Regions from separate parts of the Mus musculus genome. Here regions 1, 2 and 4 are each reported to be linked to region 3. The links are microRNA targets in miRTarBase. Many come from high-throughput screens and were not tested one by one. Region 3 holds a microRNA gene; each other region holds the end of a gene's coding sequence.
Evidence for each region. Region 3 holds the annotated microRNA mmu-miR-33-5p (GUGCAUUGUAGUUGCAUUGCA, at 4,091-4,111, opposite strand). A microRNA usually pairs through its seed, bases 2 to 8, with sites in the 3' UTR of a target mRNA and lowers its output. Matches are read on the target gene's strand: a 7mer-m8 pairs with bases 2 to 8, a 7mer-A1 pairs with bases 2 to 7 and ends in A, and an 8mer does both.

Region 1: the mRNA of Man1a2 is a reported target of mmu-miR-33-5p. Seed matches in the 3' UTR shown: 7mer-m8 at 2,644-2,650.
Region 2: the mRNA of Ccl2 is a reported target of mmu-miR-33-5p. Seed matches in the 3' UTR shown: 7mer-A1 at 6,410-6,416.
Region 4: the mRNA of Zzef1 is a reported target of mmu-miR-33-5p. Seed matches in the 3' UTR shown: 7mer-A1 at 5,880-5,886.

The regions. Positions count from the first base shown.
Region 1 is chr3:100,561,004-100,568,766 of GRCm38, forward strand. Man1a2 (mannosidase, alpha, class 1A, member 2) reads right to left here. Exons shown (of 13, transcript NM_010763.2): 13 at 1,200-6,739. The coding sequence ends at 6,607. Among named protein-coding and RNA genes, the nearest start is that of Gm40106, 24 kb to the left of the region's middle.
Region 2 is chr11:82,035,924-82,043,686 of GRCm38, reverse strand. Ccl2 (chemokine (C-C motif) ligand 2) reads right to left here. Exons shown (of 3, transcript NM_011333.3): 2 at 7,087-7,204; 3 at 6,235-6,761. The coding sequence ends at 6,509. Among named protein-coding and RNA genes, the nearest start is that of Ccl2, 4.2 kb to the right of the region's middle.
Region 3 is chr15:82,194,475-82,202,237 of GRCm38, reverse strand. It overlaps Mir33 (microRNA 33), which reads right to left and starts at 4,116; the gene lies at 4,048-4,116. Srebf2 (sterol regulatory element binding factor 2) reads right to left here. Exons shown (of 19, transcript NM_033218.1): 14 at 7,214-7,323; 15 at 5,946-6,078; 16 at 4,452-4,620; 17 at 2,418-2,603.
Region 4 is chr11:72,923,925-72,931,687 of GRCm38, reverse strand. Zzef1 (zinc finger, ZZ-type with EF hand domain 1) reads right to left here. Exons shown (of 55, transcript NM_001045536.2): 55 at 4,568-7,051. The coding sequence ends at 6,971. Gm34704 (a long non-coding RNA gene) reads left to right here. Exons shown (of 6, transcript XR_879998.1): 6 at 243-354. Among named protein-coding and RNA genes, the nearest start is that of Gm34704, 13 kb to the left of the region's middle.

The DNA.
Region 1 (7,763 bases), not on the chromosome of region 3:
AAATCCCACTGCTGGCTGAAAAACACTGCTGCCCAGCTACCCACTAACACCCTCATAGCCCTAGACTAGACAACTGTCAGTGAGCAAGATGACACTAGAAATAAAGCCTTAACAGCAGCCATCCACTGCTCACAGAGGTGCCAGAGCAATGCCAAAGGCAAGCGCTGTCCACATACAACAATACCAGTAGGCCTTCACCATACACGCAGGGATAAACTCAGAACTGATAACAGGCCTCTAACTAAAACTAGTTAGCTTTTCATGAAAAGTCACGGTGACACTAAATTAGGCAAGAAAGCATATTCCATCAGAGAACACATTGACCTTGCACTTCATCAATGCTAAACTCTTCTGTTCTTCAAGGGCACCATTAAGACAGAGGGCACATCAACATCTTAGAGAACACGAGTATATTCAGAACTCACAGCTTAATAAAAGGTAAAAATGGGCAGAGCATACGCAAAGCTAACCTGAAGAGAGGCACTGATTGTATGGATGGCCAGTGCCAGTGACTACGGAGCTGGGAACTAACACTAAATGATGCTGATGGGAAGGCTTAGCAGGCAGACTCTCTCCACCAAGCGCTATAGCCTGTGTTCCATCTCAGAGAGCCACATGGGGGAAGGGGAAGGAGAGAAATGCCTCCCACAACTGTCCTCTGACCCCCACATGTGCACCTTGGCATGTTCATATCCAAATGCACAATTTGAACTTAAAGATCACTACAGCGGCCTCAGCTTCCTGTTGGTAGGCAGTGGAGGGATGAAACCAGGTACTCCCACCTACACAGACTACAGCATGAAAGCAAAGCAAGTTATGAACAACTGTACCATGATTTAGCAGTTTCCTTTCTAGATACATATATACCCAAAAGAAATGAAGATGTGCCCACCCAAAAGTTTGTATGTAAAAATTCCTAAGTGTCCCAAATTGCTGTTAGAACTGCCTCACTCTTGACTAGTTTAAGGCTGTTTTGTAAGAGGGGACAGTAAGCTCTACTTTTCAAGTAGGTGTATAAAAACAAGCTCTTTATCTTTCTTAAAATCAAGAAATGTGAAAACAGACAAAGCCAAAAGAAATGCTTCAAACAATGAAGACTGAACCCCAGTTCCTGTAAACAAAGCCAAAGTTGCTCTTCTATAGACAGGAAGAAACTGAACTGTTTGTCACTGTAGGGTGAAAAAAAAAGAGAGAGAGACTTTTCACTTAAAGAACATCTTTATTTGATCTTCAATATACAATATTACCTTTGATTTATAAAAAAATCACATTATGGAGGACATGACTGGAAACCAGTTTAGGAGCAGCCAGTGGATAACAACAAAGGTTATACTTACCCACTTATTAGTTTAGGGAAAAATTATCAGCGAATTTGAGGCCAGTGAGAATAAAGAATGGTATTTCAACTTCTAAACCAACAATTATAATCAGGGATACTGTATTTAGTTAACCCAGTAAAAATGAACATCTAAGTTCTGTCAATCAAGAGCTCTGCTTCTCATGGTTTTCTAGTGTGCACTTCATCGATATGCAGGATTCTGTAGCATACAGGTTACTGCAAGGTGTCTGCCTGCTCTGCATGTATGCTCTGAGTGTTTCTGGAGTACTGAAGCTCACGTGCACACAGAGCGGAAGTGACCTGAGTAGGCAGGGCCTGGAAAGGCGGTTCATCTATGTATGCCATGACAAAGGCTGAGACGAGCTCGCTCTGCCCTATCATTCTGAATACAGGTTTCATTTCCAAAAATAGTGAAGTGCTGGACAAACATCACAGGAAGCTTACTGCCCATCAGGCTTGGCACACCACAACATAGATGCTAGCAAGATGATACCACAGACTTGTACCTTTCGTGAGTCCTGCAGTTGCTGATTGACTGTTAAACAGTGCAAGTATAAAGCTGAGGTTGAAGGATGCTTTGATTGCAAAGTGAAGCATACTGACGTACTTGTGAAAGCATTGTGGAGCATCATGAAATGAAGCGAGAAGGGGGCACGCCTCAGGGAACATACCTTCACTCAGACTTACGCTGCTCTAGGAGTGACAGCAGTCAACACCCTACATACTAGCAGTGGCTGTACCAAAGGGTGAATTGGGCACATAACCCATTTTGTGTTGCCCACAGTTTGCAAAAAGACTGTTTTCTGTAGCACCAAGATCCAGAATTCTACTATGCTCTCATCTGAAAGCTCTGTGAGAAGAGAGTGCATACTTTCCTACATCGCAAGGTCTTGGTCCAAGTGTCGGTCAGCAGGTGAAGTTAGAAACGAGTATTTTGATGCCATACAGATTATTTGTTCATGAGTAATCTGGAATTATGACATTAAACAACAAGACGGAGATAGGTGCCGAAAGCCTATCCTCCCATTCTGCCTCTTTCATGACAATCATATCCTAAAACCTGAAGAGACCCCGAAAAATATATCTACTTTCAAGAGAGCAAAATATACAGCTTTAGGTGACACATACATACAAGTGTACATACATACATATTTCTGCTTTAAAGTGAATTATGCAAATAAAAAAGAGAAAAGGTGCAGGTTATAGGTTAGAGGATCTTAAACAAATTAAATTCTGGATTGGGGTCAGCAGCTATGATGTAAGAGGCAAATCCAGGCCTCCATCTGTTTTTTTTTTTTTTAATGTGCATTGCATCACAGTTCCACTCATGTATTTGCATATTATTTATAGCTGTAACAGCAGAAATGAGTAATAAGAGAGCTACATGACTGGCAGACCTTAAAACACTCTCTGGCTGTTTACAGAAAAGCTTGCTGGCTATTTATAGAGCAAACAGAATACTTGTATTGGGGTATGGAGCTAAAGAACAGAGGCATGCTTTCCAGTGTCCCTGAACTACGAGTGACTTGAAACAGCTCCTGGTCAGATGCTGATGACTTAAATGCTCTGCAGACAGGCTGTGCGGACTACAGCAACTCTATCATCTACCTATCAGTGAGCAGACCATACTCCAGATCTGTGTATAACTGTACATATACACAGCTAAGCAAAAACAGACGAGGCAGGAGCCAGCCAATCCCAGGATAAAGAGCCCAGAGAAAAGAAGGAACCTAAAGTTACATCTATTATGCTCTAGTAACTGGGTTAGAGAAATTTTAGTATGTTTTCTCTATATGCGAGAAATACAGATGCCACCGTTATTAGGAAGTATACTCGAGAAAAAACAATTTACAACTGCACAGTGTACCCATGAATTAAGGGACAATTTTTCTTTTAGATATAAAGTAACACAGACTTCTACAAAGTATTGATCTTAATCATGTAATTAAAGTAATAACAAAATACAAATGATTTTATTTCTGAAGTAAATATTTTAGTCAAAGATGCAACAGAAATCAAATATTTCTTTGACATTTTTCAAGAGTCTTTAGTTATTAACTACAATTTTTGTTGTTAGTATTATATAGTAACAGTGTTTAAAATATATTATAAACCTTTTATCTCCCTTTTTAATTTAAATGAAATATAAAATTAAGAATTTTGAAACATGATTCATTTTGGGGAATATTTAAAATGCTATGGAACACTCTCATACAGAAGATGCCACTGGAATCATGTGACATGCTGTAAGGCCGGGGTGGTGCCAGGCGGAGCGTGACGCGTATGACATGCTCTGTACCTGTTTGTTCCCTCATTCTCTCACGAATGCACTCGCTCAGAGAACTCCAGCCTGAAGGGAGACTCATTGTCAGTCTTTACCGACAAATTCAGAGTGCTGACAAACACTTTGGTAATGAAGAGCAAAAAGGAGGAGAAGCTGAGGATCGTGACCTCAGACTGCTTGTTTAAAACCTGCCAAGGGAAGCCGTGGCGCCCGAGATGACATCATAGGGAATCAGGTAGTCAATATTCTGCAAAAAGAATGCGTTCCTCTAACACCCAGGCTTTCCTGCGCACATACCCCAGCTGGACGACACCGACAGGCTGGTGTTAGAGGCGCACAAAATGTGCAGCCCACCTGAAGAAAGACCTTCACCTCGGAACTTGCTGTTCTGCAGTGAGACTTCTTGGTGAAGGGCTCATTCTTAGTTTTACGAGCTTCATATTGGTTCATTAGTTTCTAAAACTCAGGTTTGAACCAAAAGGTGTGATTCTAAAATGAGCAATAAATCTGGAATTAGAAGGTGTTCAATAGTCCCTACTTTTATGTATTATTTAATCTGCACGACTCTGCCCAAAGCTGAAGGTGAGGTACCAGCTTTTTGGAGAGACATCAGTTAATGAGCATTTCTGGGTTATCTTCAGGGTTTATAAACACAATGATATGGAGTCTAAAGTACTAAGGTTTACAAACACCAAGTATATGAACGATGGAGGAAAACACACAAAAAGTAAGCAAAATATGGGATAATGGTAGATTTTGGAAAAAATTATTTTAAAAATTCTATTAACAAAATCAAACATGACACTGGCAGTCGTTTGTACCTGACTTTAATCGCCTTTGGTATTCAAAGAGGAAAAAGCATTGTTACAAGCTCTAGTTCTTATCAGGAGGGTGAGGACAGTCAAGTGACAGTCTTAAGATCTTTGTGTGAACATGTCCTGCTCACACCTGGGCCTTCTCTCTACTGCTCTAGGATCACGTGGACAATGCAGAGCACTGGGTAGGTGGGGGGACTCTTGTCTCCTTGGAGCATTCCCAGGGAACCAAGATGGCGCCTTTACTGCATGAGTGTAACAGAGGTTCCCCTGCTTGCTGCACTGGTCTTTGGCACCTTCAGCTCCTCACTTTCCTTTGACTTGGGAGTGGGCTTGTGCTGTATGAGGAAGGCTCACTTTCTTTTTCTCTGAGAACCAAAACCTCATCTTTTTTTCTAAAGTAATAGCCATCTACCATTCTCATTTACAGTTTAAAAATTTCAAGTAGGAAAAGATACAGTTTTGACATGTGCTAGAGCTCACTCTCTCCATGTTGTCTTTTATCAATACTGAACAAGTTTGAGGTGGCAAGTTTTTGGAGTACTGGCTCAATCTGAGGATCAGATAATGGTTTTCACTGGAAGATGCTCAGTCAACTTATAACATGTCCAATTATATTTTTTCCACAGTTTAAATCTGCTAGTAATAAGCTAGTACGGGGCTAAAAAGAAAAGCTACCAACCAAGGAAATAAGTTTTCAGAAATCCACAGTAGAATTCATAAGCAAAGTGTTTCATAAAATATTATAGCGTTCTCAAATTTATTGTCATCAATAGATGATGTATGTATGAAATAAAAGAGAGAAAGTGTCTTGAATTATCACAGAAATTCAAGGGACAGAAAATTTATAGCATTACTATTTATCTTATATTATAATAAGAACTATAGTTCTTGATAAAAATTTACCCTTTTTTCTGCCAAAATATAGAGCAGTATCAACAACAAAAATAACCAGTGCAGGTCTGTAAGTCCCTTAGGTTCATGCCAATTTTAGTGAGTATGATTCTTTACGTCACACATTTGCCACTGAAAATTATTCCGAAGCTATTCTAGTAATTCTTTGGATGGATAATATCTTGGAGAAACTTAAAAACATAGACTCTTTGTGAACAGATCACACGTGTGAGGTAATGAGTGAAGGACCTGACCCTACTCAAGGGACATTGCTATGTTTTGCCTTTGCTTTAGTAAGTTGTAAAAGCGATTAGGTTTGTTCTAGCAAATACAGAGCTGCATAACAGTAGAGTCAATTTTGCCGAACCACATGGAGTTGTAAGGTGAATGACTCTATTAAGTGTGTTATGAGATTAAAGCAGAAAATGTTTGCTTGATATAGTTGCTGATTCAGAAGAATAATTAAGGATTTCTCTAAAACAGATTTCAAGGCAACAATCTGGCACCTTCCCTCCTTCCATCATGCTCCCAATGCTAGCGTGAGCTACATGCACACTCCCACACTCCGGCTCATAAGCAGCAGTTATGATAAATACCAGGTTCAGCATATTATATGGAGACAACGACTTGAAAAATATTCTTCATGAGATCATGCCCCTCAGAGAAAAACTCAATCTAAACAGATTTCAATGCCTAGGTTGGGAATGAAATGGTTGCCAGTCTGGTAAAAATCCAATGAGGAGCTGGAAAATTCAGACAGGGCCAGTATCTGTTTGTTTCTTTCCCAAGTCTTCTTGCTACAATGTAGTTACATGTTCCTCGGTTCCTGCTCATTCGGTTTGTTCCATTGTTAAAATGGAGGAAAGGGGCTACACAATGTGTTATATTTGATTTGAGAGCTGCTCCACTGTGGGAGAAAACAAATGTATAACTGGTTCAAAAAGCCATCTCTAGCTCCTGTAAGGTGCTCTATGGTCTTGACTTGCACTGACAGTATAGAATAAGACATTGTTTCTCATGTGGCCATCTCAGTAAGAATCAAAACACATCAGGTCTCTGTCCTACATGTACCAGAACTTGTTTTGGTCAGGTATAAAATGGAATAATTTCAAAGTTGATATATGTACAAGTGAAAAGTCTTGCAGGGAAGAGTTTCATCCGGCATACTGACATAAGAGTCCCAGTTTCCCACAGCCGCCTCTCCTCTGCAGACAGTCTCTGTAGTGGTCCATGTAAACAAAACACAGGTAAGAATGGTCCTTCTGGGGCTGTGCTCATCGGACAGCAGGATTACCTGAAAGAGTGCTGTTGGCTAAGCGCAACACCGGCAGAGGGTGCGCCTCTGTGTTAAACACCCAGTGGTCTAAAGGTAGAAGGTCATCGCCAGAGAACAGCAGGTACAAGTATCTGAAAAGAAAAGGACAAAACACGAGTCAATGCCGCAGGAAACCAAGTGGGCTCACTGGGGACTGCAGAGAAAACCAGTAATTGATTCTGAGCAGTTCCGATGAAGATGCAGAGCTAGACCTGATGAATAAATTTCTTAAAAAAATTCACATACCTGTGCAAAGCCTATGAAACAGTGAAGGCTGTAAGAACAGCAGAAGACACATCACTTCGTAATTTACAGACATTGTTTAAAAAAAGTACACATACTATCATTCATAGTTTTTGATAACTGATTGATAATAGAATATTATATAAAATTAGTTTATGAGTAAAATTTTAAATTAGAGAGAAGTTAAATGTAAACAGATTGCCATAGTCAAGGGGTGAGCAATCATTTTTCCTTTACTCATTTCAAAATTATCTAGTAGACCATCAGAAGGAGAGGGATAAACAAACTGTGCATCCCCAATAGAATACGAAATAGCACCACCAGAAAGGAAGGAACTGCTGACAACTGTATACGGACCACTCTGCTAAAATACCAAACCATATGATTCAAACGAATCAGTTTTTTTTTTTTTTTTTTTTTTTTTTGCATGTGAATCTTTATTTTTTTTTTTTTTTTTCGAATCAGTTTTTAAAGCAGGCAATGCGACAGCAAGCAGAGCAGTTTGGGTATGGATATAAGTGACTGCAAACGAAGGTGGAACTGTATCCTCTGCACTCGGTGTCGCGTACCAATGGGCTGGGTTTGGAGGAGTACACAGTCAGAGCTTCCCTCAGCATGTGAGCATTACAGAGTGCTAATATGAACTAAGATGGTCAGCAGGTGGCAGAATATGTGGGACCCCTGAGGAATATGTGGTCCACCACTGGCCAAAACATCACTGCCCAGAACACCACGACGACGACGACATTAACCAGGGTAGTAATTATCCAGTCTAACAAATCTGACAAAACAGCAACGAAGCACTCACCTAATATACTGCAATAGAGACTGACAAAAATAGGAAGTCAAAAAATTTGTTGTTGCTGCTTAGTA
Region 2 (7,763 bases), not on the chromosome of region 3:
GGGGACCTCAGTGTGATCCCCTGAACCCAAATAAAGTTGAGCAAAGGGGTACAAACCTATAATTCCAGTGTTGGGGAAGGGACAGGAAGATCTCTGGGGCCCCTTGCCAGTCAGCCTGATCCACTGAGTGAGTTCTGGGTTCAGTGAGAGATCTTGTTTCAAAGAAAATCTGGACAGTGCCTGAAGAACAATATCTGGACTTCTGGCCTCCGTGCAGATGTGCCCATGAAACCCAGCAATGAGAGGTGGTGCTCGGTGGCTTTGTGCTTCTCATGTTCTCAGGATGAGCATCCTTGACCATGGCTTCAATCTATGGGCTTCTTATGCCCATTTCCACCTGTTGGCTATACTGGCATTGGAGCTGGGTGGGCATGCCTGTCTTTAGTAGTTATCACAGCTGGTACAGACCTTGGGCTTCTGATTATTTTGGCAACAAGATTTTTTCAAAAAAAAAAAAACCTGACTGTTACTGTACTGGGCTACTGGTACAGGCACACCACATCTCCCTGTGTGCTTTTCTGGCTGTTTTCCTTGCTTCATCCATACCTGATCCACAACTCTTTTAAGCCAAAACTCCCAGGCTTAAATGAGAGCTCCACATTTCTAACCAATTCCTTTCTTTAAACCACTTTATCCACCTGGAAGCCTCTGCAGATGATTTAGTGTTTGAAACCTTTTTTTAAAAAAAATCCATCCCTATGCTTTTATAGTCAAATGGTTTTCAGTAGAATTTTGGAGGGCATGCACTCCAGAAAAGATAGTCTTCAACAAATGGTGCTGGGAAAGCCAGAGATCTGCCTTCAAAAGAATAAAGGTAGACCCCAGCTTTCACAGTAAACAAAAATCAACTCAAATGGGTTAAAGATATGAAATGTAAGACCTGAAGTCATGAAGTGACTAGAAGGAAACATACAGGAGATCCTTTGTGATGTGGGCATAGGCACGAAGTTTATGGAGAAGAGCCCAAAAGCATAGGCTACAAAAGGAAGAATTAGCCAATCATATTTTATCACCACAAAAATGTATAAACAGTATATCTAAAAAGCCACTTCCTAAATGAAGGCATCGATAAATAAAAGAATTCTCAACTTTACTGTCCATGAGGTATAATGATTAGTGTTGATTGCCAACTTAACAGAATCCATAACTACCTGGGAGGAGGGCCTGTGTGTGCCTGTGTGTGTGTGCCTGTGGGAATTATCATGACAGTGTTAGATTAGTTGAAATGGAAAGACTTGCCCACTGTGGGTGGCACCATTCCCTGGCTGCTATCTTGGACTATGCGAGTAGAGAAAGGGAGATGATCAGCAGTCTTCCTTTATCACTCTCTGCTTTTCTGCTTTGGATGGGACATGATAAACTGCTTCAAGTTCTTGCTTTCATGGTTTCCCTGCCATGATGAAACTAAGAAGAAACTCTTTCACTTAGAGTAAGAGTATTTGTTTTCATAGCAACGTGAAAAGAAATGAATACATCAGGGAAAGGCAAGTCAAAACCACAGTGAAACCTTCCTCCGGTCAGAAGGGCTATTGCTTAAAAAAATGTCAAAAATTAAATAATACTGGTAAAGATGTGGAGGAAAAAGGGGCCCCTTGAAACTGTTAATGGAAATGTAAATTAGTGCAGTCATTGTCAGGAACAGTATGGTAGTTCCTCAAAATATTAAAAACTAGAATTGGCAATCTTGCAACCCTGCTCCTGGGCATGTAGCCAACGGAGTAAGAATCTGTATGCCGAGAGATATCTGTACTCCATGATTATCATACCATGGTCCACAACAGCTAGGAAATGGAAACAGCCTAGTCTTAGTTGATAAGTAGATGCAGATGATGTGGTAAAAGTATAGAGTGGAATATCAGCCATCAATGGATGGAACCCTGTCACTTTTGACAACATGGCTGAAACCGGATGTCATCGGGTTACATGAAATAAGCCAGACACAGGAAAACCAGTCCCATGTGATCTTCCTCATGTGAGAGCTGTGAAGGTTGACCTCATGAAAATTGAGTGTAGAATGGTAGTCACTAACGACTGGGTGGGGCAGGGGGGATGGGCAGACCAAATAAAGTCAACTAACAGATACCAAGTTACAGATGGACTGGAGAACGGAGTCATGGTGGTTGATTATATGCTATTGATTTATAATTAAAAGACCAGAAGAAAGGATTAAGAGGATTTTCCATTTAAAGATGGTAATTGTTTCATGATATACAAAGAGAGAGGGGGGAGACAGAGATAGAGATATGATGATGATGATGAGGAGGAGGAGGAGGATTTATAAGCAAATATGATGTTTATGCATTAGTCATAATTAAAAAGAAACCTCTAAAAGTCCATGTCAGTGCTTGATTTGGAACAGCAGCTGTGCCACCAGATTCTGTAAGACCCTGAATTTCTTTCCTGAATTCTTATTCCCATTCACCCTAATTGGAAGTTGACCAAGTTCAGATCAGAACAAGAGATACCATGAAAACCTGTGCCAGAGGCTGCAGCACCAAGCGTCCAGTCCAGTAACCTGCCAAAGAGGACCAAGAAGCATTATCTCTCAGTTGCCGTGTGCTACCAGGGTCTTCTGGGAAACCCTGAAACCTACCAATGGGAAGGAGAGCTTCCCCCATTTCATCACTCCACACCAGAAGCTTTTGGAAAGTTTTGTATTTAAGGTTTTTTTTTTTTTAATGTTATTTACATTTGGTGGCTGGAGAGATGGTTCAATGGTTAAGAGCACAAAGTTTGGTTCTCAGCACCTAGGTAGGGTGACTGACACCTGCTTGCGACTCCAGATCCAGGGGAGATCTAATGCCTGTGGGCATCTCAGGTACTCGCACTCAAGTGCACAAACTCACATGAAGACAGACAGACACACAATTAAAAAATTAAGCAATTTAAAAACTCTATTTATTTGCTTATTTACTTGTGCGTGTACACACACACACATACACACATACACACACATACATGCCAAGGCTTATGGTTGGAGGTCAGAGATCAACTTGTAGGAATCAATTCTCTCTTTCTACCATGTGGGTTCCAGGGTTGAATGGGGATTGTAAGTCCTGGTGACAAATGCCTTTACCTACTGAATCATCTGGCTTGCCTGTGTGCCCTCATTTTATAAGGAACTCAGGCATATTAGCACAATGTATTAGCTAGGGTTCTCTCCATGTGTTTATTATATATTAGTTATATACCCACACATGTATATATATATATGTATATATACATGAACATATATAGGTGTGTGTGAGTGTGCGTGTGTGTAATTATAAAAGATAGTTGATTATACTGAGTTTCATAACTATTCACTGCATAATTCCCCAGTGAACATCTGGAAAGTCAGCAATCTAGTAGCTTTTCAGCCCATGAAGCTGGGTACCTCAGGAAAACAGGGGCCAATGACCCAACTCCAGTGTGAGGCTGCAGGCCTGCAAGCTCCTTGGAGAGTCCCTGGTGTGAGATTCTGTTGAAAGGCTGGAGAGGGTGGCATCGAGGTCCACTGGAGTGGAGCTTGCGCATGCCATTCGCTTGTTTTGCTTCTACTTCTCTTCTGTCTGGACCCATGTTAGGGTAGGTCTCTGCTCTAGCTGCTGACTCATGTTACAGACCCATATCCACACTTACATAGGTGAAACCAGAAGTATTCTTTGCTAATGCCCTAAGCATCAATCACTCAAACCACATAGACAACCAAGATAAACCATATTGTGCAGGCCACTTAGAAAGGACCTGTGGTACAAAGTAAGGGCTTTACCTCTACAGAGGACATCCATGCTGTTATTAGGCTGTCTTCTCAGCAATCCAGACTGTGCCCAGCTACTGAGTATAAACCTTGCCTGCTCCCTAGGCATGCAGTCTGAAGGGCAGCTCTGTTTCTCAAGTGCCATTGCACTAACCTAACACCTGGAATCTGCGCTAGAAACTTGATGTGCCAGAGTGGGGGATACCCAGGGAGATATCTAGGGAGATGGACCCCCCACTCACTTAGACGAGAAGGGAAGTGGGGATGGGGAGAAGGATTGTGGGAGCAAGTTCTTTAAGGGACTGTAGCTAGATTGCCTCAGTGTAGACTTGTAGCTTTAACAATCCAACTGTATGCTAATGTATTTGTCTGTTTTAAGCCATTAGGTTTATGGTGGTTTGTTAGTGGCAATTGGGGACTAATAGGAAGAAGTGTGGTACCTGGGGGCAGGGACCCATTGCAATAAATCATAGAAATGGCTTCTGAATTGAGCAATAAACACAGGCTGGAAGCCTGAGAATTATGGGAAAGGATGAGACATTCTGGAAGAGTGTTGGCAGCAACGGGAAAATGAGTGTATCCAACTTGGCCTCCTCAGGTGCCTGAGCACTGCCAGGGCTTTTGCTCAGCCCCATTGTGGCTCCATTGTGCAAGGATGGAGGAACTCAGGCTTACTTCGAGAAAAAGAAACCTAGTCAGTATTTCCCAAGAGTGAGCAGATAGGACTTACAGATGAGTGGGGACAGGCTGTCTGCAGGGTGAAGTATTTGTGCCCCACTTCCTTTCTCTCTCCTTGTCCCAGGTCCTTTGCAGCCGGTCAGCCTGGCATCAGAGGCCCCCTGTTCTATAAGCTGCAAAGCAGAGATCAACTCATTTCTAATTTACTTCCTCTTTGCCTCTTTGCATCCACTATGATTTTAAGATTTCTTTTCTGACCTGTAACCAGCACCGAGGACCACTGGACCTGGAATGTAGGGTCAGTGAATTCGTCACACTGCTATGTACAAATCGTTTGCTGTCTGATGTAACGGGCTCTTGGAGCTCTGAAGGAAAACCCCAGCTTCAGCCAAAGGGTCTGGTCTGGCTCAGGAATGCTCTAACTGAGCAGCAGCAATGGAAACTTTCCAGGAGACATGCTTCTAAATCAGGAAGGAAAACGTTGGGCCCTATTGATCTCTGCAACACCTCCCCTCCCACACTGGATTGATAGAGACCACTTGCTTGCTCCTAAGTGACTGAGTCATCTTCAGCTCCTGTCCTGCCTGCAAGCCAGAGGTCTCCCCAGCACCTCATGTTGCCAAAGAGGGTGTGAGGTCTAGCTTGACAATCTTTTCTCCCCACTAGATGGAGAGGGTGAGCACTATGGGAGTTTATATTTTAGAGAAAGATGCCCAATCACCTTGGTGGAGAGGCTATTTGTGTGTTCCTGTGGTCCAAATGCCCCTAGGATGAGCCCCATGCCACAGACCTCAGATGGACATTCAGAGAGAGAACATCTATCCATTTGAGTGGACAACCTAGGTTCCTCTGTGTGGAGTCAGGGTGCTGATGGAAAGAAACACTCTCAGGTTTCAGAGACATTGCTTCATTAACAATCTCTGGAAAGGTCCGTACCTTAAGCCATCTCCCACGGTCCAGAACATTGTTCTCTTGGACCCAATATCCAGCCCTCATCTCATGATGAGCCACAACCAATCACTTGTCTCCACTTCTTTCTGTCTGTCTGAAGTCATCAGGATGTATTTTTCTGAGGCTCACCTCTGAGCCTCTGAATGAAACACGTCCCTCCCTCTTTATTGGACCGAAGAGTTTCAACTTATCCTTTAAATTATAGGTCCGAGGGAATACCATGTTCTCACCTTCCTATTCCAAACCCTGTATTGAGCTTCCTCTTGAAAAATCCCCATCTCTTGATATACATGCAGCTCCATCGGATGGTTTCCCTCGCTCTTCCCCGTTTAATGTACACACCATTTTCATTTCTATTTTTGGATAATTTCCCCCACCTACCAGTTTTCCTTAATGCTTTTGTGTTTTTTTTCCTATAAAACTAACCATTATCAAGGATAAGTTCATGTCTTCCTCTCTCTAGGAAGCATTACCATAACCTTCCTATAGAAGATGGTTAAGTCTCCCGTCTGTTCTCCACTGTCTGAACTACCTATGCAGTTAGAGAATTATAAATTGCAGAGCTGTAGATGGAAGTGATGTATCCCAGTTAAAGGGCAACTAGGACATGTGACTGGGAAGGACTGGGGCTTTTGTTGAGCATGTATCTGAGAAGCAATGCTAGGGACCAAAACAATGGTACTAGCATCCCTGACTGGGCCCCATCTTGAAGAGTCTATGACACTCAGATAAGACCATTCAATACAAAAGAGTGGGCCATTCACTCTCCTGTTCCCCCACAATATGTGTCCCAACCTGTGTTGCTCTCCAAGCTTATATACTCTCAGCTTTGCAGTTTCCCTCAAGAAAACACTCAAAGTCAGACTGGTGTACAAAAATAATATATTTCTTTTAATAATAAGGAATATCCATAATAATATTTTAAACAATACCTTGGAATCTCAAACACAAAGTTTACCCATTCATCTTTACAAAATTCATCTCTCATACATTGAAAGTGTTGAATCTGGATTCACAGAGAGGGAAAAATGGATCCACACCTTGCATTTAAGAAATTTTAGTATTCATGAAAGGGAATACCATAACATCAATAAGTTAAATAAGTTTAATATTAATTAAGGCATCACAGTCCGAGTCACACTAGTTCACTGTCACACTGGTCACTCCTACAGAAGTGCTTGAGGTGGTTGTGGAAAAGGTAGTGGATGCATTAGCTTCAGATTTACGGGTCAACTTCACATTCAAAGGTGCTGAAGACCTTAGGGCAGATGCAGTTTTAAATAAAGTTGTAGGTTCTGATCTCATTTGGTTCCGATCCAGGTTTTTAATGTATGTCTGGACCCATTCCTTCTTGGGGTCAGCACAGACCTCTCTCTTGAGCTTGGTGACAAAACTGTGGGAAGAGAAAAGACACTGTTAGATGAAGTTCAGTCTGGTATACATGGAGGGGCTGTGTAGAGCTCAGCGGGGGAGGGCAGGTAGAAAAAGGGGACTCAAAGTGACCTGCTTCTCCTGCAGGTTTTCTAAGATAAGCTTGTGGAGTAGAAAGGGCCTGAACAGCAGCCATAGAGACAATGCTGTTGAGAACTGCCTTTGCCTTCTTGGCCTTGGTTTCCCCATTGGATCTGAGTGTGTGACTGACTATAAGTATATGAGGACCATCCCTTGTTCTTAAGGAAAAACCTTTGGACCAGGGAGGGCCGGGGTATGTAACTCACACTACAGCTTCTTTGGGACACCTGCTGCTGGTGATCCTCTTGTAGCTCTCCAGCCTACTCATTGGGATCATCTTGCTGGTGAATGAGTAGCAGCAGGTGAGTGGGGCGTTAACTGCATCTGGAGAGTAAAAGAGAAGCACATTAGGACAGGAAAGATGCTTCTGACCTTAGAGAAGAGAAGGACCACGGGGAGAAGGCAGTTTCAGCAGGATGGGATATAAATGCCAATACATCAGATCTGGGATGTGATCTTTGACAACAGACTCAGTTATTTGCAGCTTAAAGTAGGCTCACAGTCTTGGGTAGAGGGATGCCATTAAAACTATGTGACTCTGGGGACTGTCATTTGGGGGAGTTAGAAGTCAAATTACTATGACCTGAGAAGATTACCTGAGTACATTACTGTAGGCTGCAAAAAAAAAAAAAAAAAAAAAAAAAAAAAAAAAATCAAATCATGAGTATCTCTGATCCCAACCACCTCCGCTAAGCTGCTATCTCTGGAAGCAGGGCTGGGTGAAACACAGCTCGGATCTTGGATCTCTTCCCCTTTCTCCTCTATCTGGAAAAAGGCACCAACCCAAGCCTCTGTTTGATCACCCAGGTTCCCAAATACTGAGGGAAGTAACTGGAACAGGAACTATATGAAGGTGTGATTCCAAATTTAGATCTAACAATTA
Region 3 (7,763 bases):
TCGGCCGCTTGTGTAAAAACAGAAACCACTGGTGGGTGGAGGCCCAGGTCTAGGTCTCTAACTTCTTTGTCTTTCTCCAGTCTTAGAGAGAGAAACTAGGGCCTTACCCATGCCTGGCAAGCTCTCCACACTGGGCGACATCCTCAGCCTTTCCGACTTTGAGACAAGGTCTTACTAAGTTGCCCAGGCTGGCCTTGAATTTACAATAGTCCTGTTTCAGCCTTTTGAGTAGCTCGTGATGCTGGGTGGGGGCACTGAAGCCTCCTGAGTGAGGACGGGCAGGAAGGAGGGCATTTTAGGGGAGGCGTTTGGTCCCAGCCAGTCTGTGAGCAGACCAGAGGTCTAACCTGAATGGGTTCCAAAAGGGAGGTGCAGCCCAAACCATGGGGCACACATCTGTCTGTCTGTCTGTCTTCTTGAGGAAGTCTTTTTTTTTTTTAAAGATTTATTTATTATATTTAAGTACACTGTAGCTGACTTGAGACAGCCCAGAAGAGAGCATCAGATCTCATTACAGATAGTTGTGAGACACCATGTGGTTGCTGGGGATTGAACTCAGGACCCTCGGAAGAGCAGTCAGTGCTCTTAACCGCTGAGCCATCTCTCCAGCCCTTGAGGAACATTCTTATGTAGCCTGTGCTGGCCTCAAATTTACTATGTGGCCAAGGATGAACTGGGTTCCTGATCCTTGTGCCTTTATGTCCCAAATGCTAGGATTACAAGTGTATGCCATCACACTTGAGACTTCTTTGGTGCTGGGGCTGACAGAGGGCTTTATGCATTGTAGGTAGGCACACTACCAAGTAGCCCCTTTGCCTGTGCTCTGATGACCGGATCTCTCCCAGGCCAGTTGTCTTGGTATCCTGCAGTGTTCAGTACGACCCTGAGGCTGTACTTCCGGCTGAGGGATTTCTTCCCCAACAATAGCCTTGGCCTCCAGCGCTGCTTCTAGCCCAGCTTTCTCCTTTCCTTGCCACTTATGATACCGTGTCCTCTTCTGCTCTCATAGAATAATTCAGGCTCCAGCATGTGGATCCTTACACAATAACAACAGGGTGAGGTGAAGGGGGGGGGGGGGGAAGCAGGGCCGAGCAACATGGGCCTCCAGGCACAAAGCACTGCACTTGAGTTCAGACGCTACACTTCTCCTCGTAAGATCTGCACAAGACTGGGCTCTCCAACTTCCTGTCACAGAGTGAGGTGAGCTCATGAGTTCTCAGGCCTCTTGTGAGCATCTATATGCAGTTACGGATTGCTGGGAGATAGAGGGACATTATCATCAGTGGTGTGGCTATCGGCAAGGCCCCACATGCCTATGAACAAGCCTGATGAAACTCACTGGGTCATTACAAAATGAAACAAAAAAGCATGTGAGTAGAAAGGGGACTGATGGGAGGAGGAGAGGAGAGGCAGCACTGGGAAGGACAGGCTGACGGGACTGAAAGGAGCCCAGCACACACACATACATATGTAACATTATATACATATGTATGCTTGTGTGGGAATGTTACAATGAAATCCATCAATTATTGTAGTTATTGTAAATAAGTATGCTAATCAGGACAAAAGTGAAAGATATGCCAATTATAATTACATGTCATATACTATCTTGTAATATACTTATTATATATAACTTGTAATATGTATGTATGATTATTATGATTATTATGTGTCAAATAAAAATTTAAGTACATTTTTAAGCTGGGCATGATGGTACACACCTTTAACCCTAGCATCTGGGAGGCAGCGTCAACTAGATCTCAGTGAGTTTGAGGCTCGCCTGGCTGTCATAACAAGTTCTAGCCACTCCCCTAATGTTTAGTACAATCTATGCCTCTCCCCTTACTGCTGCCTCCGACTGCCACACACGTCAGGAGGTGTGTGCCTGACTCCACACATAAGGTGCTCAAGTAGACTCAAGGCCAAGCCTAGGGAATATATTGAGACTCTGCTTGAAACAAACTCCACCTGCTCACTGCATTACACTGATGAGCACTGTAAACAATGAAGGGATGACTTGAATGTAAAGAAGCACAGATGTGCATCTTTCCTCAGAGCTTAACTCAGATGCTGCAGCCAGAGGCAGGGGTGCTGCGGAGAGAAGGCAGCACAGCTGAAAAGTTCCCAAGTGGCTTACAAAATAAACTACAGTGAAGGTCCATTTCCATGTGGCTCTTGGGCAAGGCTGCCATCTGACAGTAGTTACAACTATTGAGCGCCCTTGTGGCCAGGACTGGGGAGGGAGCTGCTTAGCCTCTCCTCTGTCCTCTGACCTCTCTTGCAGGTCTGGTTGGTGACACATGACTCTGGGCCGGGTGCACAGCAGTGTGCAAAGGAACCCATGGTCCTCATCTTAGTGCTGGACCCGAGACCTACCCCCGCTAGCCTGCACATCCCACCAGACTGCTGGGCCTCACCTTGCGGTAGGCTGGGCGGAAGCTATGGGCCAGCCTTCGAAGGCTGCCCAGGTCCCGCTGGAAGCCGGCCAGCTCAGTGCCGGATGCATGGTAGGTCTCACCCAGGAGCTGGCTGGCACTGGCCTGCTTTTGCCAGAGTGCTGTCCTCAGCGACAGTAGCAGGTCACAGGTGAACAGCTGGATCACCTAGGGATAAACCGCAGGGAGAGACTGTGACTCGCCCACACCTAATTCAGGGACCCCAGCCCCTTGCCAGACCCTCAGCCCAACAGGTAGCAGCCCCTGGCCTGAACCCAGGCGGAAAACTCAGGGGCAGGGATTGAGAAGAGTATCTGCCGGGAGCATTAACCCTGTACTGCCCACCCCCAAGCTGGGTGTGGCCTGTTCTCATCACTCTGCAGGTAAGAAAACCAAAGCTTTAAAAGGGACACATCACGGTGGCTGGGAGGGGCAGGAGAAGATCCTCTCTGAGGAAGCAGCGTGGGGAGAGGTGCACATTTTCCGTCTCCCATGATGGGCCTGGAGGGTAAGTCACCCAGAGGTCCCCAGGCTTTTCTCCTCTAGAGGAACCAAGGGGCTGACTAAGGCAGCAGCGGAGCCTGGGGCAGAGGGCAGTGGGAGGAGGGAAGAGAAGGAGGTGGGCCACCAGGAAGGCAGAGGCACATGGTATTCTCACGTTTGTCTTGGCAGCTACAGAACCCTGGCATGTGACTTAATCTAAGCCTTACTTTCCTCATCTGTGAAATGGGAATGGCAGCTTAGCTGTTATGAGCCTTTTACAAGGCAGCCCTCTGCGCATGCACCGCAGAAACTGCGCGTTGTGTGTAACCCCTGATGAGTCCAGGCTACCTCCTTGATGCCCAATAAGCCATCAGTAGCATGTGCGGCCCTAAGGGGAGAGGGGCTCTACATGCACCATTTAGATTCCCTGACGGCCACTTCTCATCTCGCCTAGGTGGTTCCTGCAGGCATTGGACTTGGGGTACCATGCTGCCCAGACCTCTTCTGCCCCATGCCTGCACAAGGTGCCAACTCTGGGCCATACTATCCTGTGGTTGATGATAGCCTCAGGGGACACAGATGAGAAACTCTCCCTCCAGGCAAAGCTGGCATTTCTAAGTTGTGGGTGTAGGAGCAGCATCTTCATGCGTGGGACAGGAGCCTGGACTGGGTCTTGCACTCTGAGCATGCTCTCCCAGGCCCATTCTCCCGCCCTGAACCACAGCGCCAAGGGTGCCCCTTAAAAACCTTTCTAGTTCCTCAAATATGACTGACAATGGTTTCCTTGGGAGGAAACACACCAAGGGAGACCAACAGGAAGCCCAACAATGGCTTGCCACCAAGCCTGTGATCGACACAACGGCTCTCCCTGAAGGGCTGACAAGCTGTCCTGACTTACATAAAGCACCCAAGTGGTGGTCCGCTGACAGCCGCTACCATGACATTCCAGACAAAACCCCAGGAAGCAGCTAGTTCTAACCTCCCAAAAAGTTCCCTGTTCCTCCTGTCTGATGTTTCCTAGGGGACCAGGGGTGACACTGTCCTTATTCCCCACGATGGTTAGGTAGGCCCTCAGCGGTGCCCTTAGATCCTCTTTGGCCACGGCACCGTGGGCAGTCAGGGCAGGCCTCCGTGATGCACTGTGGAAACATTGCACAGGTATTGCCAGAACATGCAATGCAACTACAATGCACCACAGCTGCCCGCCAGGAGGTGTGCAGCCGGCCAGAGGCACCAGGGCTGTCAGTGGGCCCAGGCCCAAGGGAGCAGCGGACTACCTGGAGCAAACGCAGAGCCCTGGCCCGTTCACTTGGGACTTAGAGGAAGCTGCCAGCTAGCAGGACCTGAGAGTAAGAGAGCTCGGGAGAAGAAAAGGTGCAAACACATTTGCCCGGGGAAACAAAAGGCACATTGCCCGAGTAGGCTTCATCTGTGCATCTGGCCTCTGTGTCTCAGAGAGCCCAGCAGGCTGTGTAAGCTTGGGCGGAACTGTTCATACAGACCACACCGAACCCTCCAGGGGCTCCCACTCACATGGTTAAGTGAAGGATCAGAAGTAGTGCCGCTGACGTTGAGACTGCTCCACAGGTGACCACTGGCCCTCTCACAGTGACAGAAGGAGTTCTGCTGCCCGTCAGCTTTCCCAGAGAGGGAGGCATGCATGGCTCTACAGGTATAGAAGACGGCCTTCACCAAGGGACTCCTAGAGCAGTGAGTAGGAGAAGGCAAGCAGGTGAGCACAGGTCAGCTGTGCCAGCGTCGTCACACCCTCCTTGCTGTGGCATCTGCTGGCACTGCGATACTGCCACTGTGGTCTCCTTGAGCCAGCCCCAGACAGGAAACGCTGGCTTTGAGCCGAGTCAAGCCTTTTTCTGTTCAGTCCTTAACTGGTCCTGGAGGTGACTGGAGACTCAGATTCAGTGTTACAAGTCTCTGGCCTGGGGACAGGATGTTGGGTTGTGAAGGGCGGAGGAGCAAGAAGAACCCAAGCAGGGATGCCCGCCAGGCAGCTTTGCCGTCCATTGTGGCTCTGAGGCTCAGTGGCACAGTAACTTGAGGTAACCTACTTGTTGAGCCTCGGCATCTTCACCTGAGTCAGAGGCAGACACACTCAGGTAGGAGTGCTATTGTAGGGCTGGGTATTTACCAGATAGGGGCTTGAAATCTGGCCTGCCCCAATGAAACAGACAGCTCAAGCCGCCCCCTCCCACTCCTCAGCCTGTTGGTGCTCTGCGTAGAATTGTTCTTGGCAAGAGTGTGCCTTGGCTTTTAGGACAGGACCCCAGGGGACTCTCTGCCTCACTGCATGTGCGTGTTGTAATGTTACCAAGAGCACCCACATCTAACCAACGCCATGCAGGGTACCAGCAGGCAGGCTTGCTCATCTTTAAATACTGCACACCTCCAAGGTTCAGGCACGTGTTGAAAAGAATGTCAAAATCTTTCTTTATGCATCTTGCCCAGGTGACAGAGAGATGGCTCAGCACTTAAAGGGGTTTGCCATCAAGTTGATGGACTTCTGGTCCCTAGAACCTACAAGGTGGAAGGAAAGAGCCCATTCCTGTAGGCTGTCCTCTGACTTCTCCATGTGTACCATGACTCACACACACACACACACACACACACACACGCACAGAGCCAACAGGGCTGATGGGGAGTAGCGAACAGCAGTAAGGAAACGGGAACTGGAGCTCACATAAGCTCCAGGACTGCCTTGCAGTGGCCGCACTACATACATCACATTGCTGATTCTGGCTCTGCCAGGGCTGTGCCGTTTCCATTTCCTCTATACAGTGTGGCGTCACGGAGGCAGAGGGAAGGGGCATCCTAAGCAACCGTGCTAAGCAAGGGCGCCTGGAGAGCTCTGTGCAGAACACACACCGAGGGTTCCTCTGGCCCTCCCCCAGCTCCCATCTGTCACACAGTTCTGACCCCAGATCAACATGGCTATCTGGACCTGCTCCCTTCTGCTACCTCACTAAGATCCCCTTGGCGAAAAGTACATAAACGACCAAGGAGCTTACGCACTCGGTCACTTCCAGGGCCTTGGGGACCCGCTCTACTTCAGTAAAACGAGAGCGCACAGCTGCATCGTCTCCCTGGAGCCAGCTGATGGCCATGGTGACTGCGGACGTCCACCACCGGCAGATGACATCGGGGCCTGCATGGGAACAGCAGCAGGAATCACCCATTAGCACCCACAGGAACCAAGTCTAAGGGGCACTCAGTGCATGTGGCATCTCTCGGCTGTGGTGATGGACAAGGAATCTTCAGGTCACTCTCCCTCAGGATCTGGTAGTGTGTATGTAGCAAGGACTTGAACACGCTCATCCTTATGCCCCAGTAACCCCATTTGGTACTCTTATCACTAGGAAACTGGTCGGAATAGAAGTTTAACAAAAAAGTTCACTTTAATGCTAGATTTTTTTTTTTTTTTTTTTTGAGACAGGGTTGCTCTGTGTATAGACCTGGCTGTCCTGGAACTCACTCTGTAGACCAGGCTGGTTTTGAATGCAGAGATCTGCCTGCCTCTGCCTCCCGAGTGCTGGAACTAAAGGTGGGCACCACCACTGCCTGGCAAAGCACGTTTGTGTTTTTATTGCTGTAGTTTCCCTTCTGAGTCTCAGGTTTCTCAACTGTTAAAACTATGTTACAAGGGATCCTGTGAGACCAGCGAGGGACAGCCCGGTGACAGAAAAGGAGTAAGAACACGTATTCTTCTAACCCCCCAAGTCAATATGAACCACGCTACCATAGCTGCTTTCCTGGGACCCTTCTCTCCCTAGGATGAGAGCATCCTTCCAAGGTAGCCTGGCATCCCATACCCCCAGGTACTTCAGAGGCTGAGAGGTGGCAGTCGACGGGCTGTCATTCTGAGGGCAGTTTAGAGGGAGAAGCAAATAAAACCATAGCTCTGTAGTCAGCAGGGGAGACTGTAGCCGAGGCAGTGGGGAGCTGGATGGTAAGAAGGGAACCTTCCCAGCGGGAGTGTTAGAAGCTAGCTCCAGGGCCTTCTGTAGCTAAGGTGAACACCAGCTAGCCTCAGGCACTCAGGCCCTTTGTGGCTTGTATGTGCATATGGAAAGGGTCCTGACCTAAGCTACCCAGCCAGGGCCTCAGTGTGGTAATGACCCACTTGCTGTTCCATTATACAAGGACCAATATTCTCTGCTCAGAGAATGTTGCTCATGAGGGACAACTATGGGCTGGGGCATCCTTGCGGACGCAGATGCAAACCGAGGACAAGGGAAGATGCTTTGAGATGGACTCCTGATTCTAGAGGGGTTGATACTCACCAAGGGCCGACCTGAGCACGGAACTGCTGGAGAATGGTGAGGTCACAAATCCCACAGAGTCCACAAAAGAATGAAGTAATTTCAAATACTCTAGAGCACTGGAAAATTCACTAAAAAAAAAAAAAGGTGCCATGTTTATGACCTATAGAAAGACTACACCTATGTACGGTATGGCCTGACATACCCACATGTGTGCTTACACCTATAAGCTTGGCTGCTTAGAGATCCAATTCTAAGACTGAACGGCCCTCTCTGGCTCCCTTTTCCCATATCCCCGGGCAGATCAAGTTCTGCCCATGCGCATGATAGATGTGCTTCACAGCCAGCCTTCCGCAGATGTTCTTCCCTGTGCCAGCAAAGACCCCAGGCTCGGCCTTCCTCCCTCTGTGGACAACCCTGACTATTCCTCCAGACTAGACTCCAAAGCCACACTCTTCCAGAGATTTCCTACTGCTTAGGTAGGACTGCCCCGCCCTCACTCCTCAATGCACTCCAGGATGGTGGGACTTTGATATCCTTTGGTTTATCGGGCATTAATCTGCGACAGAGA
Region 4 (7,763 bases), not on the chromosome of region 3:
ACAGGAACATGACTCACAAAGGATTAGAGACCATCCATGTTTGTGGTGATTTGAATGAGAGTGGCCCCATAGACTCAATGTTTGAGTTCTTGATCTCCAGTTAGTGAAACCATTTGGGAAGGATTAAGAAGTGTTATACCTCCTTGTTGGAGGAAGTGTGTCACTTTGGGGTGGGCTTTGAGATTTCAAATACTACTCCAGTCCCAGTCTCTCTCTCTTTCTGCTTGCTGCCTGTGGATCAGGATGTAGAACCCTCAGCTCTACGGCCATGCCTGACTGCTCCCACCGTGATGATCATGGACTAACCTTCAGAAACTATAAGCAAGCCCCTAACTAATGCTTCCTTTTATCTGGGCATGGTGGTGCACACACCTCTAATGCCAGCACTCAGAGGCAGAGGCAGGCAGATTTCTGAATTCAAGGCCAGCCTGGTCTACAGAGTGAATTAAGGACAGCCAGGGATATAAAGAGAAACCCTATCCTGAAAAGCAAAAATAAATGAAATAAAATAAGTGTTGTTGTTGTTGTTTTTTTAAAGAGTTGCCTTGGTCATGGTTTTTCTTCACAGCAAGACAATGCTGCACTGGGGCAAAGAAGTTTCCTACAGTTTGCCCAGGTTTTGAGACTTTATAGAAGGCTAAATTTAAAGGTGGTAGACTAATTAATCAGATAGAGAAAAAAGTTTCTGTGAGACATGTTTCTCTCTACACAGCTCTGGCTCTCCTGGAACTCACTGTCAACCAGGCTGGCCTGAACTCACTCACAGAGATCTCCTGCCTCTGTCTCCCGAGTGCTGGGATTAAAGGTATGAGACACGATACCTGGCCCAGATGGAGAGAATTTTAAGACAGCTTGATACTTAGTCTATTCCTAGCTAGCTTTAGCCAGGTTTACATTAAGAATCAAGAATGAGCTGGGCAGTGGTGGCACACGCCTTTAATCCCAGGACTCTGGAGGCAGAGGCAGGTGGATTTCTGAGTTCGAGACCAGCCTGGTCTACAGAATGAGTTCCAGGACAGCCAGGGCTACACAGAGAAATCCTGTCTCATAAAAAAAAAAAAAAACACAACAAAAAAACCCCCCCAAGAATGAAAGAGTGGAAAGACTTGAAAACTTTGCAATTTTGTCAGAAAAAGGTGTATGGTTAAAGTTACCTTCAGGGAAGATAGGGTTAAAGAGATTTAAAAACAAAAACAAAAACAACTAAGTTCTGTGCACCTGGACCACAGGTTTTTTGAGGGCATCTCAAGAGCTAACCAGACACCATCCATCAGAGACTCAAGGCTCTGAAGGTGTGAAGAAGTACAATCACTTGAAAAACTTTGAGAAGAGTTCTTGCAAGGGTCACCCACAGAAGAGTCTTTATGGTTAGCTATTCAGAGGCCACAGTCTCTACCATCTGGTGGGGCCTGGCCATTGCTCAAGTTGGTGACAACCTATTGTTATCTGCATGACTGGTTTTTGTAGGCATGCAGAACATAAATAAATTTGTGGGCCATAGAAACTTTTAGTCAGATTCCAGAAGAAAGCTTGTGAGACTCAGTTCTGTGTTCCAGGATGAGAATTTCTATCAGCAGCCGAGGGATGAACTAGGTTCTGAGAGTGCCTGAGCTGCAGTTCAGGAAGCTGAGGATGCTGGGACTAAGGACGTCCGCCGAGGAAAGCTGCAAGCAATAGGTAGAGCCAGCCCAAGAGAGGCCATACATGCTAAAGCCAGCAAGGCCATAGTGATGACCCTTTGGGGCCAGAGGTACAGGATTAAATGTCTGCCAGACTGGGGTTCAGTCTTTTACTGTTCCTTTCAGCATGTCTACACCCGCCCCTCTTCCTTCTGGAATGGGAACATTTAAACCATGTTACTGGATATTGTAAATATGTAACTTGATTTTTCAATTTTGTAGGGGCTCACAACTAAGAGTTTGTCTTTGAAGATGCTTTAGACTTGGGTTTTTGAGTCACACTGGAATGGTTGAGACTTTGGAGAGTCTTAAGAGAAGTATTGAAGACATTTTGCGTGCGAAGATGGGCATGAGTCTTTGGTAGCTAAGGACATCTGAACGTCAGGAATGGCTTGCGTATGAACTGTCCTCCATAGGCTTGGTTCCCAACTGTTTTGAGGATGAGGCGGGACCATTAGGAGGCAAGGCTGAGCTGAAGAAAGTAAATGAATCTGGGCGTGGAGGCCCAGGTTTTGGTTCCTGGTGCCCACATGATGGCTAACAGCCAGTTCTAGGGGATCTGATACCCCTTTCTGGCGTATCTGAGCACTGCATGCGTGTGGTACACATGTGCATGCAGGCAGGCACATAAAATAATTTTTTTTTTTAAAGTCTAGAAAGGTGGAGTTGAAAAGAATCGTTACCAAGTGAAGAGATGAAAAGTTCCCAGGAGAAAAAGCTTCTAAAGTCCACTAGTACAGAATAGCAGTGGCTGGCAGCTATTTCAAGACAGCTTGTATAGACCTTTTTTTTGAGGAGGTGCTAGCTTATGAGAGCCAAGCACATGCTCTACTCCTGAGCTCTGCTCCCTACAGAGGTTTCTGAATGTTCACAATGAGTGGTAAGTGGGACCTGGATGGGCAGGACTGCAATGACTTTCACTATTTGGGAGTCTGAGGCAGGAGGTTTGCAAGCCCAAGGCCATCCTGGAGAACTTAGGCCTTAAAAGAAAAAAAAATACAGAAAGCCCAGTGATCAGGTTATTGTTTAGTATGTGGGGCGCCCTAGGTTAAATCTGTAATACTGTAAACAAGACAACATATGAACATTACATTATACCTGATTAAAATGCACAATAGTATGTTAACCTTAAAAATTAAATTTAAAATGTAAAAGGAATTTTAGTCAGCTGACTCTTCTCACTTCTGCTGTGAATTTCTGTCCTAATAACAGTGTCGCCACCATACTTTAGGGTGTCTCACCTGGTGTAGTGGCTGAGCAGCTGTGTTGACAGGACTCACAGTGGCTACGTGGGGATTTCCCAGACATGGCATCTGCCCAGTTGTCATGGATACAGGTTGCTCAGCAGTTCTGAGATAGCAGCCCATAAGGACATGAGTCTTCCAAGTAGCTTTTTAAACATGAAGGCAAATTGTGGTTGACAGCTTAGGGAAGCCTCCCATGAAGGGGCACAGAGAGAGGCTCTTCAGAGGGAGCAGGCACTGCCACCTTGAGAGCAAACATCCTGGAAGATTAGGAGAGGCGAGGAGAGACAGACAAACTGACTGTCCACCTTCAGGCCATAGAGTTTCTCTTTCCCCAGAGTCAGATGCAACCCTTAGCTTTCCCGGTTTTATAGGCTGGTGAATTCTCCTTTTCAATTTAATTAGTTTGGGGCCAGCAGCACAGCTTGGCAGGTAAAGGCCCTCACTGCCAAGCCTACTGACCTGAGTGTACTGCCCGGGACCCTGGTGAGAGAGAAGAGATTCTTTTAGGTTGCTCTGCGACCTCCACAGATTGTGTGGATTAGATGCATATGCATACAAACAAATTCAGTTTGGAGTTTAACTTAAATATGGAGAAAGCGCACTGAATTCTGGAACCGTGCCTTCAAAGTGAGTCTCAATTCCTTTTGAGCTGAGGGAAGGTACAATAGCCAAGAATCCCTAAGAAAGAATTTGCTAATGGCTGCCATTTGCTTGACTGGACCTTGTCAGTGGCCTTGTTACTGCAGGAAGTGTTTATACATTTTCTTCTCATACATTGCTGATATTTTAAAAATTATATCTCTATCTAGTATGTCTCTGTATGTGGGTGTTAGAAGACAACTTTTAAGACTCTATTCACTTCTTTCTGGGTTCAAATTCAGGTTATCAGGCTGGACTGCAAGCCTCTTCACCCACTGAGCCATCTCAGTGGCCCTTAAACTCTTGAAGGCTTGAGACACTTTAGTAGTGGATATATATATATATATATATATATACATATATATTCCTATTTAATAGGACTATGTCGATAGTTCTTCCTGGAACAGTTTTGTAAGTTTAAACTGTTGCCTAAATTTGGGTCAGAAAATTTATTTTCATCACTACTTCATAAATATTTTGCTGTTATTAATCATAATGTAAATATCTGCTATGCAGGATATCTGTTGTACGACCCCTGTGAAAGGATCATTTGACCTCCAAAGGGGTCGTGACAGGCTGAGAACACTGCCCTAGAGCCTCCTAGCAGGTATCAGTGGCTTGCTACCCTGACCTCAAGAGGAGATGGGAAAGGAAGCATCCATATGAGAGTACTAGGATGGCACCCAAGGAAGGCACCACCCGAGGATGGATCCCCTGGTTGACCACAATGAAGGGCAAGGCTCACAGTTCTGTCAACAAAGGTTGGGCCCTGAAGGGTCTTCTGGACTTCTTCCCATAAGCAGGCAGTGATGAGGTTCTGTAAATCCCATTTGTTTGGCCAGGCATACACTTCAAAATATATTTCATAAGAGAAACTGAAGGGCCAGACATGAGAGACATGGGCAAGGGACTGTGGGTTTGAGGCCAGCCTGGGGGATATGGCAAGGTCTTTCCACAGGGGAAAGGGGGCAGGGAAGGAAAGAGAAAAGGGAGAAATCCACACAGAGTTGTACTTTTTTATATAGAATTTTTACAATATATTTCTCTTCATTTGCATATCTTATCCACAACTTAAAACATTCCTTTTACAGGCTGAACTCACTCAGCTGATATAATCAAAATTCTTTCACTCAACCAAATAAGAAAAATTCAAAATCGTAAACCCGTAAGAAAACAAATTAAAAACGATGATGAAAATAAGTCACTCCTCTCATTAGAACAGTGTCTGTACAATATATCTGATTTGGAACAGAATTCTTTATAGATTAGGCACATGTTTCCACGACCCCTTATGCCTGCCAGTTTTGTCTCCGTCCAGGCAGTCTTGCCTCCTAAGAGTCAAGGGGATATTGGCCTTGATGGAAATCCTTTGGGACCTCCTGCCCCGGCTGGGGTCAGGAGACATTGGCCTGGCTCAGCAGTGCCACCCAGTGGCCTAGAGAAGCAGAGGCAGTGGGCTGCAGGTGGCCAGGTCAGGAGGGACCCTGTCCGGTCAGAGAGCAGCTGTGGTGTGTGAAGAAGGGCAAACTTAAGCTCATTCTATGCAAACTGAAGCACGTAGAGAAAACAGCAAGCAGTGAGTGGAGAGGAGCTATGGAGTCCAGCGTTTATTTACAGTTGCTCTTCCCGATGGGAGGGTGGGAGGAGAGCTGGGGCCACTGTCCCAAGGGAGGTCTCCAGCCTTGCCCTGCCCTGTCCACCTGCTCTCTCTGCTCAGTCTGAGGTGTGGAGGAGTGTGAGTGTGCCATCTCCTCCCCCATCTTCTAACTGCTGTGTGGTCTGAGCCACCGCGAGTGAAGCCTCTTCACCATGCACTTGTTCTGACTCTCATCCGAGACCTACTTGGAGGGAATGGCGTGCAACGGGAGACTTCTCTGGGGTTTAGGCCGCTTGCAAAGCGTAGGTGCTTTGGCAAAGAGCAAAAGGTGAGAAAGAGGTTCCTCTGGGCCAGCAGACACCATGTCCAATACCATGGGACCTGGACCAAGTTCCCTCTGATGTCAGGGTGGTGGACCATAGGTCACTCCATTTGTTTCTGCTTTTATAACCCATCCCCTCCCATTCTGTGGCCACTTTTCCTGTGTGCTGGGGTTCATCAGATAACCTAATTCTATGACTGGGCAGGAAGTGGTGCCAGAAGGCATAGCACCTTTGCACAAGATGCTCCCACACCTGCAGGTTCAGGTTCTGCCAATGCAGTCCTTTGCCAACTCCCAGAAGAGTCTTCAGAGGCCAAAGGGGCAAGCTTGGTCACAGCAAAAGCCAGCCAAATGTGGCCCTGGCTCTTAGGAGCCTTTTTTTTTTTTTTTTTTATTTGCATTCTGCCTGTGAGGTGGGATATGCCTCTGGCCAGATGCCTGCCCTTCAACAGCAGGTGCCTCAGGATTCTTCCTGAAAGTCCACGGCCTGCTGCTGACCCAGCATCCTACTCTGTGGCTCTGGGGAAAAAGGTCATCAGCACACAGGGCAATGCTAAAACCATAGAAGGAAATACGCAAAAGCTTCACTAAAACTAACGTAGTTATTGCTAGGCAGGGGATGGCCAAACAACCAGGCAGGAGGTTCAAGGTCGTAGGCTGCTGATCACCATGACCTTGGAGCAGAAGTATAATCAGGTGTGTCCTGACTCCTGAACAAAGGCTCCTCTGAGGGCACTGCCTGCACTGCAGGTGCTGGAGAGCCCCTCCATTTCTGTCACTTCCACACATGCCAGTTTGCCCCTAGGCATTCCCTAGGGGACCTCTCAGGGAGTCGATGTGGTTCTCTTCTAAAACCATGAGGGGAAATGAAAACTAAAACAATGAAGGAACAAAGATGTGTGCGGGGAGCTGCTGCACAGTGACAAGCAAAGCCTGCCAGCTGCTCCCAGGGACACCTGCTCTCACTGTGAGTTGGCCAGCTAAGCTGTGGCAAGAAGATTGCTTGGGAACTGGAGGTGGCTGGGAGGTGCTCATGTTGGTTATGGGCTGGTGTCCCAACTGGGCCACTGCTGCTGCAAGCTGCAAGTCTTACTGCAAAGGTAGCTCTGGGTGGATGGTGCCTTCTCCTGATGGCAAGCCTAGGCAGCTCCCACTCAGTGGAGACAGAATCCTTTCAGAGACGGCTTCCAGGTCTTCAGTGCTGTGACTCCCCTGGAGGAGACTGGCCTCTAGTCTCTATTCTCTGAATAACTTTCCCAAGGCCTCTTGATGCTCTTTCTGAGCCACTCTACACTGCTGTGCCTTTTTGGACATGTGGCGCCTGCAGTGGGCCTTTTTGATGAGGCGGCTGCTTGGCCAGATGGGAGCAGGGGGTGGGCTCAAAGAGAGCTGGGTGCAGAGGCTTCAGGGGTTTCCTGAGCAAGGTTGGAGGTCTGCTATAAACCCCTGTAGACAAATGATCAAGTCCATGCATATCACACTGAGGCTAACACTCAACATTCCAGAGGCGGGTGGCCTTGTTTGGGTAGTTGATGGCCAGGCTGATAGCAGCAATGTTCTGCAGAGCCTATGGAGGGAAAGAGCAGTTATCAATATCAAGAGCCACTGACTTCCTCATCCTTGAGTCTAAGTTCCTCAGCTGGAGGGTGATAAGGTGAGCCAGAGGTAGTCCCCCTTACCCAGTGGCTCACAAGTAGAATGAGAAAGAAAACAAAACCAAAGCCCACAGGAAAACCCTGGGTAAGTAATAAAACAACCATGGCCATGGTGTGGTAGCAGTCTAGTTGCTGAAGCAGGGGTCTGGGAAAGCCATAGAAAGGAACAGAAGGGGAGCACAAAGGTTCACACAAGAGGTGAACAGCTAGTGCTAGAGAAGTACCCATGGGGAGCTCAGAACACTGCGGGGAAAGCAGCTGTCCCAGAAGGACATGGCTAGAAGGCAGAACTTCAGGGAAGAGACTGGCAAGCTGTGGGGAGGGCCACAGGGGAAGGGGGATGAGATATGCATGGGCAAGCATGAGGGCCAGTCAAGCCCATGGAGAGAAAGCTGGTGCTCACCACACATCAAAATCTCTTATAGCACATCAAGAAAGCAAGGGCCGTAGTAGCCAGTGCAGCTGGCTGCTAAGAGACCTCAGCAGCCCCACCTGCTCTTTCCCCTGCTTTAGTAGGGGAGCCCCAGTTCCGAGCAAAACACTTCTAACCTTCCACATAGAGCCTTCCTTGAAGGATTAGGCTCTGGGAAGAGTCCCAGGTGGATGCCTAGCTGAGAAACGTTC